Linked DNA regions of Daphnia pulex. The main gene of each other region encodes a partner of the protein of the gene in region 2 in a complex. Links are inferred from orthologs where the notes say so. Each region holds a gene or a part of one and is shown on either strand. Other genes may lie near its edges.

Region 1 (4,421 bases), on a different chromosome or scaffold from region 2:
AAGTAGTTCAAATCTTTCGTAGCCTATGTATTTCTTGTTTGATTCACACGTTACGTGGGAATCAATCTGCAGAAAAGGTCGATAGGGTGAGTCACGTTGCTGGTTGATGTTTATTCAAGGTCGTTAACAACCCCTCGCACCCCATTCTGACTTCTGAGAACTCCGGCTCAACCTTCAACCAACCAACTGAACAAGGTCAAGGGGGGAGACTAAGGGTGACTCACTTTGTTGTTGTAAATAAACCAGGTAAAAACCCAACAAATGCGTTGCGTTTTTCAAAAATGTCTTACTATAAACGAGTTTTAAAACTATTCATCCATAATGATACGAAATTTTATAAAATATCCATAATTAATATACAATAGCTTACTTTAATTTAACTCTAGTTTTGTTGGATCCAAACATAGTAAAATAAAAAAAAACGAGAAATTATTTTCGTGTTAACTTATTCCAGATTAAGGTTTATAATCATAAGAAAACAAATTAAATGAAAAATTTTCTGGGATAACTTTACAATATTAAACGTTCCATATTAAATTATAACTTTCCTAGTCGTTAATTCTACATAGTATTCATATGGATTCAAAAACGCTACAATTTTTTTTCTTTTGAAGTTCATCTTTCTCATATGCTATTTGATTGATTTTTATGAAAAAAAAATCATAAACATCCCTTCGGATACCTTGCTAATAACGCAGGTAGCTGACATCATATCGTGACATGTGTTTTTCGAAAAAATAAAATTTTTGTCATAAAATTTGTTTGTAATTTTACCCTATGCATCTTATTTTAAAAACCCAAACCAAACCTAAAAGTTTTACCATTAAGATTGTTCTTGGTTCAGAAAGGCTACCAATAGCCGTCGCCAGGTGGCGGTTTTAGCACTGACAGGGCAATAGCTCTCTATGGCTATTGCCCTGTCGGACCGGCATGGCAATAGATTTCACGCAATTTGCTGGGACATGGCAGCTTTGTCAGGGGTATGGAGAGAAAGGTATGGGGGTCTTTCCATACCCCTGGCTTTGTTAAACACACTTTCCGTACCATGTCGAGAGTAGGCATGGTCGAGAGTACTCAAGGCATCATCTTATTGGGTAAAATGTGGCATCACGTGACTTTTGGCAACGTCTATTGGGAGATTGACTGTGTGCATGGACTACTCTAATTAAGGACGGGATTCTTCGCCTATCCTGCCTTGTTAAAGCTAGTCGGGTGGGGTATTTTCATGAAAACATTAATAAAAAATATCATTAAATTCAGTTTTTTTTGCTGATTCCAACTATAGATATAAATCTTAGTGAAATAAACTAATCATTAAGATATTATAAATTTACTTTCAGAAGTAGGGGTAAAAGGATAAAACACCGGTGCCATCTAGCAACCAAACACCCTAAGCTCTTAAGAATATACGCTACAAGGTAAAATATAGTTAGGCAGCTATGTCAGAGGACTAGATAAGAGAGTGGTTTTTTCTTTCTCTCGGTATGCATGCATGGGCATCTGCTTGCAAACTAACAAGAGCTTAGGAGGTTTGGTTCCTAGATGGCACTGGTGTTTTGCCCTATTTCAAATTTTTCGTTAAGGAATTGGAAATATCTCTATAAAAATAAATGTTAGGTATAGGGCTCTTCGGGATCTGTTTTATTTAGCCGATTTATCTGGCAACGCAGCATGGTTCGAGACTTTTTTAGGGCGAGAACGGGGAGAAGAGGGAGAATGGGAGGACACCCTCCTCCCTCCCATTCCTCCCATCCTCCCTCTTCTCCCCGTTCTAGCCCTAAAAAAGTCTCGAACCATGCTGCGTTGCCAGATAAATCGGCTAAATAAAACAGATCCCGAAGAGCCCTATAGGAACATATGGTAATTCTATGATAATTTTTAAATTCTGATTCTGATTCTCCCACAAAAAAATTTACATGGCCGACATAGGAAACGCCGAAGAATATACCGTCCTTAATTAGAGTAGTTCATGCTGTGTGCACACTTAACGAACCCCACCCGTGAGCCGCCCAGCAGTCGACGTTTTTTTCTAACTTCGAAGTTGTTCTGGTGTGCGAAAAAAATGACGAATAAAGAATCAGACAAATGTGTAATATGCACTCCCGGTAATATTAAAAAACATATTTTTTTAGTTGTCATTTTGATAAAATGTTTGCATTTTTCAGGACAACGCATATGTCTGTCGGATAACCAATATATTGGAGGAGCCGGAACTTACACAAGACAAGGTTATATCACATCATGTTTAGCAGGTGTTGTTAAAGTAACTTCACAACCTGATAAGGTTAGTGGTTAAACAGTGAAATTAGATCAGTGAAACAATTCATTTGGTGTGAAATAATGAACTTCCGAATATTATGTTCAAACTTTTCTTCCTAGAGAATCCTGATAGAGGTTAGAAGTGGTAAAGAACAGACAGTTGTTCCATCTGCTGGTGATGTGGTTACAGGTACTGTTTAAATTATGTGTTGAATTTTGTGAATTTCATCTTAAACCTTTAAATAGCCAGAGTAACACAAATAAATCCTCGCTGGGCACGATGTGCCATTTTGTGTGTTAAGGACATTGTATTGGCAGAACCCTTTAGAGGACAGCTGAGGAAAGAAGATGTGCGTGCTACAGAAAAGGACAGGGTTGAAATGTACAAATGTTTTCGTCCCAATGACATTATTTTAGCAAGAGTGGTAATTATTTGATTTTGATCATTATTTCAACTGTAAAGTGAGTATGACTTCTAAGATGAAATTTTTTTTCATGTTGCTGTTAGCTCTCATTAGGTGATGCACATTCCTATGTTTTGTCAACAGCAGAAAATGAATTGGGTGTTGTTATAGCATACAGTGAAGAAGGTACTCCTATGGTTCCAGTAGGATGGCAAGAAATGCAGTGCCCAAAAACTTATGTTAAAGAATTGAGAAAAGTTGCAAAAGTTTCGCCAGAAACAATTTCAAACGAAAATGCAACAGGCGTCTAGATTATATTAATACATGAAATTTGACAACAAAGCTTTTCGGATTTTATTTTATTGGTGTTTTGTCGACTGCTTGCGTTTCTGTTCAATTCATTTCATTTTCTCCAAGTTCCTTTTTTCTAATCATAATTTATATTCTTATAGTTTTTTCAAGCATGTAAATAAAATGAGGAAACATCGCCAAGTGAAATGGAAAAATTTGCCGAAATCTCTAGCTGTCATTTTTATAATTGGGTATTTCAATTCCTAGCGAGTTCTTGTAATCAGCATATAGAAAACTACAATGTATCTTTTCTTTTTTATGAAGAGGAGGAACTACTCTGGCATACCAAATTCATTCTTTAAACCGCCGGTTTTCATCTTTATTGTCAGATGCCGCAGTTGAGAGAGAACGTCAAAAGGCTGGGTGCTATATTGCTATTCCTCAAACTGTAATTGAAACTGAGATTCATGCTATGACCTCTAAACTGAAAAATGTTGAACAAATGGTGGAGACTCTTATGAAGGGACCAACACATCTTGGTCTTGATTCAAATCCCTGGCATCTTCTTCGAATTCTTAAATCAGAACTCCCTTCTCATACTCAAGAACACTCCACTGCTTTAAAAACATTGGCTACTTCACATTATAATGGTATCTTCAAATATATTATTTACAGATTATGGTTATGGTTATAAAGTGTAAAATAACTGCTGATTATTCTTTATATAATATAGTTGGATTATCCCAGCAAATTGCCCAAGCATGTGATTTCAGGGTTAGTGTCAAACTGGCAAGAACAAAAAATGTTAACCTAAACTTGTTCCTACAACCCCCTGCTTACATAATTTCAACCTCTGAGGTTTTAAATTATATATTTAAAAGCTTATAAATGATGTGTCTTTTAAACAATCCTATATCCTCTATTATAGCCCATAGAAGATGTGTTAAACCACATTCTTGACAAAATTCCTACCTCCAATCAACACACTTGTGCTACATATTTTCTTAGCATTGCTCAAAAAATTACTGAAAAAGACAAAGATGAAGTAAGTATTTCATTTATGTAGTAGTTGATGAAACTTGTATAATATGATTCATTTGTTATTCCAGGAATTCAATCTTAGATGGGATCCTGATACTGCTAGAATTATACATCCGGGAAACATTGTTCAAATCGTAGAGCTGTACTTACAAGCTTTATTGGAACTGTCTCGTTCATTCGAATCCTCAATTTTAATGGTGCAAAATGGACTTCTTGTCGCGCTCTGGCGAGTCGTGCATATGTTCAACAAGGAAGCAGCGCTCAAAGCATTGTGTGTTAATATAATTGTGAACATCTCTTTATTCTCTCAGCTCCATCATCAGATTTTTCAATCAGGTATACTGTATAAGAATTTAAAACGTAATAAATTTTACGTAAAAAATTAACTTAACCTAAAAAATTAAACAGGTTGGATTGGCCTTTTAG
Region 2 (5,677 bases):
TAAATTTGCGAGTTATCAACCTTGGGATATCAAAATTTTTCGGCATCATCAGAAAAATAAAAGATTCATTGCAAGCGAAACCGCAAGCTCTGTGCAAGGGAAACCCCAAAAGAAGTCATTACCGCGTTCATTCCACGAAAGGATTTCGTTGTAGTTGTACGTATGTTGCAATCAGCCGGGAGGAAACCCTGAATGAAACCCTAGAACACGACATTCATCAAATGGTTAAAGTCCCATTAAAATCGGATGGTTATTCATCCGCTGCTAACATTAGCTTGCCACAAGTGTCCCAATTACTTTGCTGATTTCCGTTATTACTCTGCGTCGTCATATTTCAAATATCCAAAGGACTCGTCCAAAGGGTAATGTTCTCGAGCTTTTTGCTAATTCAGATTCCGCCATTACATCTGACACGACAAATTGCTTCTTTCTTTTCAAACGGTGTCTTGTTTACTTCAAAACGATTGAAAATCGAACAATTTTTAAGAGAGGATAAACAGGTTCACGGATTCATCCACAACAGTACAAGAATACGACGTTCAAAAATTAATTTTCAAAAGAGTGTAGATTAACTTATTTCGATGAATACGTAAGACTCTTTTGGCCACCCTTTCTGTGGATTCTGTTATTGCTATGTCCGGGACCACCTCTTCGGTTTTTGCCACCACGGCCTCTTCCTCGACCCCGACCGCGTCCATCACCATCTTCACGCAGTGCGCTCCTTTTAAAAGCGTGATAATCAACCTGGGAATAATCAAATGGTTCGAAATTAGCCCCGCTGTCATTTCCTGCTTCTTTGCTCGCCGGTCGTTTTAATGATTTTTTCTTCATTCCTGGATTGGGGCTCTTGGATGTTGCTGGATTAGGGCTCTTGGATGCTGACGGCACTACTGCATCCGCCGACTTTTTCGATGGGGAGCTGGAGTTTGATGGAATTACAGATGTTTCAGGAGTAGCCGTTACTCGTTTAGTACTCCCTACTTTCTTCTTCTTCTTGTTAAGTCCCTGCGCTTTCAACGCCAACTTCTTTTTCTTCGCAGGAACTACTGCTACTGCTTCCGCCTCTTCTTCCATCGCTTCCGCTTCACGCTGGGCATCGGGTGTTGAATGCGCCACTTCTTCCATGAAATGTTGGCGCAACTTTTCGACACGTTGTGCTTCTGCGGCTTCTTCGGCCGACTTTAGAGCTCTGACACGAATATATCTCGTGTATGGAGAAACAAAATTAGTTGATACATTTGTCACGATGCCAGAATGAGCCGATTCGGCGAAGATTAGAGCTTGTGGGAACTCTTTTACAGTGACGCGGACTCCAAACTCCTCGGATCTTGACGCCATTGATTCGATCGTTTGCGGATTCAGCAGAGTGGGTAGGTCGTCTCGGATGTCCTGAGAATGTGTCAAGTCGTGCATACAATAAAGGGGGTCTTCGGTGTCTTGATCCAATGGAGTCGGCATCATTTTCGGGATGGCTAATGGCTGGCCGTGATGTTGTAGAGTGGCGAGAGGCATTTCTCTGGCTTTTAATATGATTCCATGGAGATGAAGTAAATGCTGACGAACGAGCGAAGGGATAGGTGAACAACAGGCAAGGATACCTTGCATCTCCTTAGGTAGAACATCGGCGATTTGTAACAACATGTGTTTGGGTAGAACAAAACCAGTGCTCTCGTCTTCTTCTCGAGCTATTCGATCGCGCCAAGCAAACAGTTCTTTTAATGCAAACAGCTGACGTTCGTTGAAAATCTTCTTGCTGAGCCTATACAATTCCAAGTGACTTTCGGCAGTGATAGGGGGAATTCTGTAACGTTTGAGACAAACCAGTCGGCTGTTTTGCCAAACTGCTGTCAGCAAATTATCTCCTGTTCCCTTCATCTTCAAATCCTTTTTCATCTTTTCGTAAATGTATCCTAGGTAGTGGGTATCTTCTCGAGCATAATTGACCATTTGCTCAGGCAAGGGACGAATTCGCCAATCGGCTAGCTGGTATTGTTTGTCAGCAATAACTTGGCAATAATGACGAAGGAGGAAGGACAAGGACAGCTGTGCAAAACCCAATAATTTGGCAGCGTGATAAGTGTCAAAAAGATTAACGACGTAGATACCGAAATCGCGCTGAAGCCACTGAATATCCATATCAGCTCCATGAAAAATCTAAACGAAAACCAACAAAATAAGTTTGTTACTTCTTCAATTAAACAGTTAGCTCATACCTTAACAATCTTTGGGTTGCAGAAAACTTCATTTAAAGGCTGTAGTTGATCCCATAGCTCTAAAGTGTCTATAATGTAGTCAGAACTGCTTGTTGAAATTTGCATTAAGCATGTTAGGCCTTGAAAGGATCTATATGAATGGGCCTGGCAATAAATAATTAAGGAACTTAATAAGGTTCACCAATTTAAAAACTGCTAGACAGTGAATAATACCTCCAGATCTACAGCAATCACAGTTTCCTCAAGCAAAACTTTCAAAAGACTTTTTAAACCTTCTTCAGTATCTATCATTACCAAAGGGATTTCTTGAACACTTGGGAATGGAGGCACTTCATCAAGTACGGTGAAGAACTTTGGATCCGGTGTAAAACGTTCCAATTCAAATTCGTACGGATGGCTAAACTCTTCATCGCCCAAGTCATTCAATTCTAATAGTATCGCCAGTGGTTTCAACGAATGAGGCTTATCTTTGATTTTGGGGATAAACGGTCCAGGTGAATTCTTGATTTTCTCTTTGAATTTCAACTGTGGTCTCAGAATGTTTTTAGCAGAAAGAAGTTTGTAAGAGGTTGCTGGTGAACTCTGTAAACAAGATGAATACTTTATAGATTCAGCATCTAAGACAACAATTGGTATGAAAAACTAGATACCACAGAATGCCGATTCCAACTGCCATTAATATTTGTAGTTTTTGCCATCATCTCAACAACTACAGTTTCTGCTTGTTTTTTTAATCCAGCAGCTTCATCTAGAGAAAGATTCTGAAACGAAAGCAGTTTTTTTTAACAGGTGTAAAATTCTAATAATTCCTAGTAGCATACTATTCGCTCCATCAAGATGTCATTGTTGTCCGACACCAGCTCCATCTGCTCTTCCAAATCCAATTTTCCCACCTTTCCTGTTAGTCCATAGTGTCCGTAAATTGTGGTCATCCTTGACAAATAAAAATTTTAGGATCAAACAAAATTCTTATACTTAACGGTAGCTGTAACTCACAAGTTAGTAATGCGACCACCAAATTCTTTCATTGCGCTGGCATATGCTGGATAACTTTGGTAGTAATCCCAGTCTGAACCACTACTTGGTAATTCATTAGAGTACTTTGTGACCTTCATTGCACTTTGAAATAATTTCTAAATAAACAGAGAAAATCAAGTTGTGACTGATATGAAATTTCAAAATGTTTGGCCAGCCAATGCTCTACCTGTTGAACCTCTTGGGCATTTCCATTCTTCTCACTTTCTTTTTCACTCATTTTAAAAATATTCTCTGATCATCAATTGCAACAAAATCTTATTGCGATTATTCACAGAAAACATTAAGCACGTGAATCGCCTTGTTTCAGTCTCGCCGTTGACCAAAGAATCATGCTTTCAGAATCCACTTGTCGTCTGCTACATTATGCATGTAATACACCGTTAGTTAAACAGTTGATTTATTTATTATTAAACTTAAAAAGGATCTATATTACTTAATTAATTGAATATCTATGAACAAGTAAAATATTTAGTAAATTTAGAATATTTTTCAACCCACGACTAAATATTTTTTATTCATTTGAAAATGCTATTGCGCTTTAAAATTCTGCCAAGGGCGTTATAAAAGTTCCCCGAAAATAACAAATCAACAAGTGCCTTGACCATCATTCTTTTCCATAAAATAATAACAATTTTAATCCCGCCGTAAAAATGTTTGCACTAGTTGTTTATTAACTTGGACTTTCGTTATTGAGTACTTATAAAGGTTCACTGTGTCATCCAAACTTGTCGTTTTTGCGAAGGTAACTAATATATGACAGACGCTTGAAACGATCGAAAGATTTTCTTATATTGCTTTCTTTTTCAGCACATAACAATGCACGCTGTTGTCGTTGTGACTGGAGGGATTTTGACTTCCGTATTCATTGCTGCTCTCCTTGCGCTATTGTTTATATGCAGATATAAACTATGTTGCTTTAATCTTGGTTCTAAATTTAAGAAGAAGGAACAAAGCCCACAAGTGCAGCAGAATGGATTCCATGTGAGGTAACTATCTCAAAAACGAACAAAGACTTCTTTCGCAGTTGGGAGTAATTTTGCTTTTGAATTTCCCAGTAGGTCTGATATTCATCTAATCAGTAGCCTAGAGATGGAAGATGAAGACTACATCATGGACAATATTGATCCTGAAGATTTAGTGATTCACCCTGACTTGGACAAAGTTCTAGAATCTCACAGATGGAAATGGGTGGACGATGCCCTTGGAATTGTTCCTCATTGCCTTCAGATTTTAAAAGGCTGTCACTTGATGAGTGAAAGGCTTGTGACTACAGCTATGGCTTCTACAGATCAACAGAGATTTGTTGAATTGGCAATGGTACAACTCTCATTATCTAAAAGAAAAATAATTGCATGCATTTCTGTTATGTTGGAATTCAGTTGTGACACTCCAAAGATTACTATGTGTCTGAAAGTTCTGTTGTGTTTTAGGTTGCAAAATCTGTCCTTCCATTAGTTGACGACGTCTTGCGTTCCATGTGCCCACCCATTCAACCACGCGATGTCGAAATCCGAGCCTTTGCCCTCTTGAATGCTGTCAACCGCTTGAGCAAACTCACCGAGCGAACATGCAATGTGTCGTGGCCATCAGCTATTTTCGAAGAGATGAATATGCATTACCAGGTAACGTGCATCTTTTAAATGCTACACGACTTGTTTGCTTGGAAACGCGAACTGGCTCTGAATGTTCTCGATACTATCTGCTTAACTTTTCATTAATTTGTACTGCAGAAACTCAAAGCCATCGCCCGGCGCTCTGAAACTCAATTATGGAACGAACGAAATCTTTACAGGGAAGGTGTGACCATAGTCGAATCATCCATGACTTGAAACACGAATAATCTCGAAAACCTTCGTAATCTCCGTCCAAAATATCACAACGTATCTTAACAAAATTAGCCTCACTAACCTAAATGCACAATGTTCGTTACAGTGGACTCATTATAACGTCTGACCAAGTAATGTACCTTTATTAATGGCTCTAACGATTCAACTATCCTTTTTGTATTTTCCTTTTTTAAATGTAACCACTCGTTATCAATCAAAGTTCGTTCCAAACTATTTTGGCAACTTTTTATCTTTTTTCAAAAATAATAATGGTTCTGATCCTTTTGTTTACGTCTGCCACGTGAAAAACAAGTTTTGGACTCGGGTGTGTAGTGAACCGTTTAAATTTTAAAAAAAAAAAGAGAGAGCGAGGAGGGGGAAAAAAAGTTTGGCGGCAGATCACGTTGTGGCTTACACAACATTATCAAAAAGTTTCAGTTCTAGGAAATCGATCGATGACTCCGCTCTCAAATAATACCAGAAAATGCCAAAAAGTCTGACTCTTCGGGGTGGGCATTGCGGAGCCGCACTTCACCAAATTGGGTAGAACAAAAGAAAGCGTATGGAAAACCAAACCAAACAAAAAAATTACCATGGTCA

The links. Proteins that work in one complex are often made in the same cells at the same time.
Region 1: exosome component 10-like (region 2) and exosome complex component CSL4-like share a complex: the UniProt entries of both Caenorhabditis elegans proteins name them as parts of the RNA exosome complex. The link is inferred for Daphnia pulex from reciprocal best matches to the Caenorhabditis elegans genes crn-3 and exos-1.

Annotation. Positions count from the first base shown.
Region 1 is NC_060026.1:7,115,155-7,119,575, reverse strand, and holds exosome complex component CSL4-like, read left to right. Parts: upstream 1-1,950; 5' UTR 1,951-1,969; coding exon 1,970-2,105; intron 2,106-2,165; coding exon 2,166-2,284; intron 2,285-2,379; coding exon 2,380-2,449; intron 2,450-2,505; coding exon 2,506-2,684; intron 2,685-2,767; coding exon 2,768-2,974; 3' UTR 2,975-3,003; downstream 3,004-4,421. Other genes in the region: protein SERAC1-like, read left to right, coding at 3,138-3,205, 3,279-3,604, 3,688-3,812, 3,883-3,999, 4,064-4,331, 4,404-4,421. UniProt on the Caenorhabditis elegans protein: Non-catalytic component of the RNA exosome complex which has 3'->5' exoribonuclease activity and participates in a multitude of cellular RNA processing and degradation events. Involved in regulation of antisense ribosomal siRNA production.
Region 2 is NC_060022.1:1,681,537-1,687,213, forward strand, and holds exosome component 10-like, read right to left. Parts: upstream 3,652-5,677; 5' UTR 3,469-3,651; coding exon 3,418-3,468; intron 3,347-3,417; coding exon 3,210-3,346; intron 3,147-3,209; coding exon 3,035-3,146; intron 2,975-3,034; coding exon 2,864-2,974; intron 2,796-2,863; coding exon 2,427-2,795; intron 2,358-2,426; coding exon 2,214-2,357; intron 2,155-2,213; coding exon 574-2,154; 3' UTR 428-573; downstream 1-427. Other genes in the region: transmembrane protein 98-like, read left to right, coding at 4,068-4,237, 4,307-4,568, 4,682-4,873, 4,982-5,080. UniProt on the Caenorhabditis elegans protein: Catalytic component of the RNA exosome complex which has 3'->5' exoribonuclease activity and participates in a multitude of cellular RNA processing and degradation events. Involved in apoptotic DNA degradation.